Linked DNA regions of Macaca fascicularis. The protein of the gene in region 1 interacts with the protein of each later gene in a pairwise test. Links are inferred from orthologs where the notes say so. Each region holds a gene or a part of one and is shown on either strand. Other genes may lie near its edges.

Region 1 (4,061 bases):
AATTAATTAGCAGAGTGTAGAATTAATTTATTTGGCCAGGTTGTTATGCTACTGTTGCCCTGCTTCACCCTTAATTTTTTGAATGACTACCTACTATATTCCTAAAGAATAGAGAGCTATTTGGAATCCATCAGTGACTTTAATTTGCTATTAGAATGTAAGTTACACTCTTTTGAATTCTTGTGAAGGACTCCTTGCCCTTCCCAAAATTCCAGTTTCCAAACTGAAATATTAAAAAATATTTCTGCAAGTTATTTTTCCCACACTCTACTGTAATTAAACCATTACTTGTGGCTCCCCCACCCACACACATACACATAAGCCCCTTGAAGATGTGGGCTGCTTCTCTTCTGTTTGCTCTTGTGTCTCTAGGCCCTCACGGAATGCTCAGCACATGGCAGGTTCTCAAATAAGACCTGACTGAACAAATTAATAGAAATGATGCTAATTCCATGTACACTCAAAAGAATACCTCTTTGAAAGTCAGTAGCTTCACTCTCTTCTGCCAACCCAAGACTTCTTCACATCATAGATACTTACAAATAAGTTACAGTAAGCAACAATTTATAAGTAAACACAATGTGTCAATGCATGGCAAAAGGATGATTACTTCTCTTGGCTATCCATAGCAGGACATAAAATATGCCCTTAGATTTATTACAAAAGGCCAGTCAGTATGCACCAGAGAAAATGGTGGAATGGGGGAAGCCAAAAGTTGTGAGTCTGTCATAATGATGTCAAGTGACACACTTTTTCATTGCGATCAGGGTGTACCATACCTTAGAAAAAACAATCTATTTTCCATTTCTGGATGTCTTAATAATTTAAAATATATAAATAAGCTCCTTTTCCATCATATGAACTGTTCTTACGTATTCTCTGGCCTTCCTTTGTCCAAATGTTGAGTTGAAGTTTTCATTGCATATTCTCTGTGCGCTTTGGCATTACCTAATGGTTTCCTGGCTCGTGTGAGAGAAGTCAGCGTCAGCAGTCGGGTTTTGCCGAGATGTTTTCTTGTCCTTTCCAGCACAGAGCTCTACAAACAAAGGCAGGGTTATCACATGTACCCGAGAGCTGCCTGGGAAAAGCGGGAGCTATAGTTATCAAAATTTTAACCTTTATGAAGTATGCTTTTGTCTCCGTTTTTGTTGCGTTCAATCAGATCAACAAGTGTTGGCTAAGTGTTGAGCGTGGTTTCCTGTGGGATTGTGTAAGGCTCTGTAGGACAATAAATGTGTTGGGGGCACTGAGTAATGTAGCCATTTCTGACCCGGCAGCCAGGAAAATGTGAAACAATTTGCTTCTGGAAACAGGACAGCTGGAGCTGTGTTCCTGCAAGAGCAGACCAACCACCACGGCGGACCCAGGCAAGCACGGAACAAGCCGAGATGGTGCGTTTAAGCGGCAGGTGGCTACTCAGTGTCATATACTATGGGGAAAATAGGTTTGGTTCCCGGTGTTGTGGGGCCTGAAGTTACAAACTTTGGGAAGCTCACTTTAAGAAAAATAGTACAACATTTTGAATATGAAATTACTAGGGCTTCCTCTGGGACTTTAGATGGGACCAGGTAATTTGGAGGCCAACGGCTGAAACTGCTGTAATTTCACTGTAAAAATTCACTCCTTGCTCAAAATCTCAGTTAGGGAAGCTATCAGGTTGTGTACATATCACCACCAGTTGTATCTAACTTTGTGCTGTATTCTCTGCTAATTTTCTCCATCCTCTTCTTTAGGTATTGCCTTTCCACAGCTTTTCATATTGGCCTCATAACTGCTTACAAAGAGACATAGAAGTGTTCCTTGTACCTTCTTTACCTGTGTTTTTATGATGTTACTTTAGCTACAAATATTTGCTCTTAGGTTCCTGAGGTCTCTCTAAATCAAGTGCTTTATGTATTTTAGATGGAGATAGACAGATGGGAGGGAGGTAAACCATACAGTTGTACTCACATCCATATAATTTTAAAAGATTTTGTGGGCCACAATGATTTCATTGGATTTGTAAAGGAGTATAACTTTGTGGTCCATATAAGTGCTTCTCAAACTTTCCTGTGCACATGGATCGCCTGGGGATCTTGCTAAAATGAAGATTTGGCTGTGCGAGGTCTCAGGTGGGAAATGAGAGTCTGCATGTCTAATGAACGCCCGGATGATGCAAGTGCACGGACCACACTTTGAGTCACATCCAAGTATTTATTTGTAGGACATATGTGGCACAGATACACAGTCAATAAGGGGCTGGTTCAACCTCATTTTATGGTAACTCGTCTCAAGCTGGAAAGTCTGCTACAAAGCTGCTATGGACTGGTGTTGACATGACAATACATGAGGAGGTCTTCCTGCCTCCCATTATCTCCTATCCACAGGAGCTGGGGACAGAGGAATGGGAAGTAAAATTTTATCATTAAGGATCATTATCATTTCATTGTCTTTAGTTTTTTAACTTTGCTATGGTCTTTTTTAAAACTTTGCCTATGGAGCAATGAGAAGGGACATAAGTTTTTAGGACACCTACTAGGGTGTTGGGCATTAGGCTGCCATCTTCTCGACTACTCATAACCTTTCGAAGTGGTTATTGTTTCACTGCCTTTACAGATGGGGAAGCTGAGGTTTAGCTGGGTTAAGTAACATGACAGGTTGCACAGAGACAGAGCAGGGATTCGAACCCAGCTCGCTGCTTTCACTCACGCCAACGTGCATCACATAAGCAGTGTAACATGTTTAATTCAGCATGAGATGCTAGCTCATGGATTTATTGCTTTTTGCTTTTCTCCTAAGGAAGGTGCCCAGAGAGAGTGCCCTAGGCAGAGGAGAGGGAGCAGAAAGAAAGAGGGTAGTGAAAAGAGGAAAAGACTTAGAAAAGCTCTATGGGACACTGAAGATTAATCTCACACCTAAAGCAAAACTTAGCTCCAAAAGGACTAGCATTAAGATTCTTGCCTTCTTTGTGAGAAAATGATCTTCCCAAAGTGTCTGGTTTTTATACACTCATTTTGGATCAATTAAGGTGTGATGCTCCAAGATGCTGAGAATTTGACTGTCAATGTTAAAAGATTTCTGTCCATATCATGCCAAGATCAACTTTAACTTTCCCTCTCCTGAATAACATCATGGGAAATAAGGATCTGTCAGGTTCTGTGAAGCCAGTATTTGTCTTTGGCCAGCATCATAAGACTTTTGGAACCACTTTACTTGATTATCAGTCAAACATTTTGTTCTTGTTTAAACTTACCATCACATTTTGTTCAGTTATTTAGCAGGAAGATAAGCAGGCCTGGCATTTGGGCAAATATTTGAAGATCAAGTTTGTCACAGGGCCCTCCAGTTTCCCTTCCAGATCCTGCCCCACTTGGAGCGTCTTCCCTTTCTTTCCCACCCTTCCTGCTCTACTGCCTTCCCACCACATGTATTATTTTAACATCTTGACACCTCCCAAAATCTTTAGCTACATGGCATGTAAAGTAAGAGAGGATAACTAAACCAAGTCAAAGGGTAAGGAATTGCTATCCTTATCTCTGAATTTTAAAGGATAAATCTTTAAAGGCACCACCCTGAGTCAGTGAGGGAATACACTTCCTGGTTGAGGGAACTATCCAATGGACATTTAACTAGATAACCCTATCTCCCTTGGCATCCTGTCTCCTGCTCCCCTTCTGTACCACTGAGAATTTATTCCAACTTTTGAGGTTGTATGTTCTTACCTATTTTCAAAATGTGGTTTCAAATTTTGTTATTTAACACTGCCTTTCAGCAGGAGATTCCTATTGAAAGATTATAGGTAACATCGTTCTGATATATCCAATAAAATGTCTCTTGCACGGGTCTGTTAAGACTCAAATTCATGGGTAGTTTCACCAAACTATGTCCCTTAGCAAAGCTGTAGTATGTTTGGCTGAACACATAGATATCTCCTACTCTGTTTACTGCCATCGGTGGAGTGGACGTTGTACAGGTATGACACCTGAAGCTGGCTCCCAGGGCCATGCCTCTTAGAGCACTTGTTAATGGTACTGGCTAAGTCACTTAGGCTGCTGGGGCTCAGTGTTACATCTGTAAAATGA
Region 2 (3,518 bases), on another chromosome or scaffold:
CCTGAGCAGCCTTCCCTTTGCTGCACCTCCCTCTGGCCTATGGCACAACCTCTACTTCCCTTATCACAGCATGCATCATGCCTGTTTTCTTATTGGCAACAACACCAGGGTGAGCTTCCAAGTATGTATGTGCTTGGCACTTATGCGTCTTCAGTACTGAGTTCTCATATAAGTGACTGGATGGTCACCAGGAGAAAGTTCATCTATTCCTGACTTTTTAGGTGGAATAACCAGTTTCTCTAGCTTTCCCTTACCCCAGAACCAGGCAGCCAAAGGTAGGGAGGGTCCTAGGTTTAATTAGAGACCTTTCTTCACAGGCCTTGCATAACATTTTAAATTTAAGATATTATACGGATACATAAGTACTCCATAACTTCCTACCAACTAGATTAGGGGTTTCCTAGGCAAACCTCCCAATCAGTACTCTAACAGTTAGTAGAGCTTATGGCCTTATGCTACTCTGAGAATTAGGTGTCACAGTCATCCCCATGCTTCAGATGGAGAACCGGGGCTCAGAGATATCACATAACTTGCCCAAGGTAATATAGAAGCAGATGGTAAGGAAACTAGAACTCAAACTGAGTTCAGGCAATATGTCTCTAGAACCTTGATCTGACCTATAAGAATATAGTCAATGAATTTTCTGTTTACTCAATGAATGTTGAAAGAATGAAGTCAGGAGCTGGACATGGTGGCACATGCCTATTGCGGGAGGATCACTTGAGCCTAGGAATTTGAAACCAACCTGGGCAACATAGCTAGACCTTGCGTCTAAAAAAATAAAAATGAACAAAAAAGAAAGAATGAAGTCAGTAAACTGTACTAGAGATAGGGATGACCTAGTATATCATAGGGGGTATATTAGAAAATATGAAATTTGAACAACCCAGAGTGTATTCACATTTGATTCTGGATTACGTTTAGGGGGGAATATAAACATATTCAAAATAAGAACCATTAGTTATTATACGGCACCCCAAGGGAAGACTTCTTGCTCTAATCTATTCCTGCTTCATGAGGAGAGAACCTACAGGCTCAACTCAGACATCCCAGCCAGGGACACACAGTGAGTGGCCAGTGGGCTAGAACACACAGCCAGCATGCCGAACAGAGAAGCCTGCAGTGTCTTTTTTTTTTTTTTTTCTTTTTTTGAGACAGTTTCGCTGATGTTGCCCAGGTTGGAGTGCAGTGGTGAGCTCTTAGCTCACTGCAACCTCCACCTCCTGGGTATAAGCAATTCTCCTGCCTCAGCCTCCCCAGTAGCTGGGATTACAGGGGCCCACCACCAGGCCCAGCTAATTTTTTTTTTTTTTTTTTTTGAGCTGGTGTCTTGCTCTGTAGCCCAGGCTAGAGTGCAGTGGCACAATCTCGGCTCACTGTAGCCTCTGCCTCCCAGGTTCAAGTGATTCTCCTGCCTCAGCCTCCCGAGTAGCTGGGACTACAGGTGCCCACCACCACATCCGCTAATTTTTGTATTTTTGGTAGAGATGGGGTTTCACCATATTAGCCAGGCTGGTCTCGAACTCCTGACCTTGTGATTCGCCAGCCTCGGCCTCCCAAAGTGCTGGGATTACAGGCGTGAGCCACCGCGCCCGGCCTTGTATTTTTAGTAAAGACGAGGTTTCACCATGTTGGCCAGGCTGGTCTAGAACTCCTGACCTCAGGTGATCCACCCGCCTCGGTCTCTCAGTGCTGGGATTATAGGCGTGAGCCACCCGCGCCCAGCCTGCAGTCTTTAGGTGGCTTACCTCCCGCAGCTCCAGCCTCTGGGCCACGGCCTCGAGGCTTTCCTGGCCAGTGCTCTCCACGGACAGGGTGAACTCCACAAACTCGTTATTAAGCAGCTGGATCCGGGCAACCAGGCAGCTCTTGCTAGACACCGTGTAGCGCCGGGTGCGTTTCAGTTTCAACCCAAATGGCAGTGGCATCTTCTTTCTTCAAGAGTGGAGGCGCAAAGAGGGAAAAGCTACCCCCACCAACCCAGCGGTGGTGACGCCAGGAGAAATCAATCCTCTCCGAATGGGACGAACACTGTCCGGCCTCCAGCTGCTCACCCAGCAGCCGCTGCCGCCATTAAAAAGCAACGGAGTCTCCAATGGCCCGAGGAAGTGAGCATCGACGCCAGCGCTGGGGAAAGAGGAACGCCGTTACTTAAGCAAAGGTAACGCTGGGCTTTGCTTAATATAAAGAAAAGCCAGTCAAGCTGTGTCCAAATAATAAGCCGTCCCCACCCGCTGGAAAAAGGAGGCACTAACAGGACCCGGGAGGCAGGGTGGAATTTTATCTCAGAGTTGTGTTGGGCTCAGGGTCAGACTCCACCCTTCACTGTATCCTACAAATAGGGATAGCAAGCTAGGCCATCGTCAGGATTAAATGAGATAATGGCCAGCACTACTATAATCCCAAATGTTAGTATTCGTGGTCCTCTTCCTATTTTGGATAAGGTGGTGTTTCTTCATAGGTAACTCTTTCAGGTTGTAGTACTCCAAATGTCAGAGTTCTTTAGTTCTTAAGTGAGAAAAGTGCAAAATACCCCCAAAAGAGCTAGATTCCAGTCCCAATCCCTTTAGAAAATTAACGCTGAAGGCAAATGGGAGGAATAATCCCCACTAAGAATGGCAGGTGTGTGGTTCAGACGCGGTGAGGTGCCTAACAAGCGCTTGTGGAAGTATTCACGTCATCAAATTGATTTACTGATAAACATCATAAAATACCCTACAAATGCTCGTTATCCATTCATTTACCACTGGAAGAGTGGCAGTTCTGAAAATCCAGACCCCGGCCCCTCTCCAGGGTGGGGACGCCCAAACAGGCCTTCACCTAAGCGGAGCCGCGGCCCAGAAGGGGAGGCGGGCGAGGCCTTCCACGCCATCCTGAGTTAATGAGCGGCTGGGGGGGCAACAAACGCAGGAAGCCCACGGGGCCTTGGAGCACTCAGGCCCCGGCTTCTTCCGCGTCCTCCCCTTGGGAAGAGCAAGCGGCGTTGCCAGGACAACCAGTAGACTCGGAGGCTCCGGAACCCTCTTTCTGCAGCCGCGTTTCTGGACGGACGCGCTCTAAAAGGACCGGTCCCTCTGCTCCCGAAAGAAACATTTAAAGGGACCAGCGCGAGCCCTACTGGCGGTGGAGAGGTTGTCATACCCGCTTTGGAGCCACAGGACCTCGAAATACGCTCCTTACAACGTGTTTTATAGAGCGAAGTCTTGCTATGCCACCCAGGCTGGACTGCAGTGGTGCCATCGTAGCTCACCGCAGCCTCGAACACCTGGGCTCAAGCGATCCTCCCGCCTCAGCCTCCCGGGTAGCTGGGACCACAGGTGCGCGCCACCACGCCGGGCTCTAACCGAGTTTTTAACCAGACCTGTTGATGGCAACTTCTGGGCTGAGGCAAATGGGAGCGAGCACCAGCTGGGAATTTTTGTATCAGCTGGATTAGTTTTTTTTCCCCCTAGACGAGTCTACAAAATCCCGGATATTTCCAGGGTCCTGAGACGGTTCCCCACCTTCTTCTGCGCAGA

Evidence for each region.
Region 2: the proteins of BMX (region 1) and PTPN21 interact in binary tests that used the Homo sapiens proteins (3 or more experiments, as listed by UniProt). The link is inferred for Macaca fascicularis from reciprocal best matches to the Homo sapiens genes BMX and PTPN21.

Annotation. Positions count from the first base shown.
Region 1 is NC_088395.1:15,309,109-15,313,169, forward strand, and holds the start of BMX (cytoplasmic tyrosine-protein kinase BMX), read left to right. Parts: upstream 1-1,257; 5' UTR 1,258-1,388; coding exon 1,389-1,391; intron 1,392-4,061. UniProt on the Homo sapiens protein: Non-receptor tyrosine kinase that plays central but diverse modulatory roles in various signaling processes involved in the regulation of actin reorganization, cell migration, cell proliferation and survival, cell adhesion, and apoptosis.
Region 2 is NC_088381.1:156,520,947-156,524,464, forward strand, and holds part of PTPN21 (tyrosine-protein phosphatase non-receptor type 21), read right to left. Parts: intron 2,976-3,518; exon of another isoform or gene 2,821-2,975; intron 2,128-2,820; 5' UTR 1,929-2,127; coding exon 1,749-1,928; intron 1-1,748.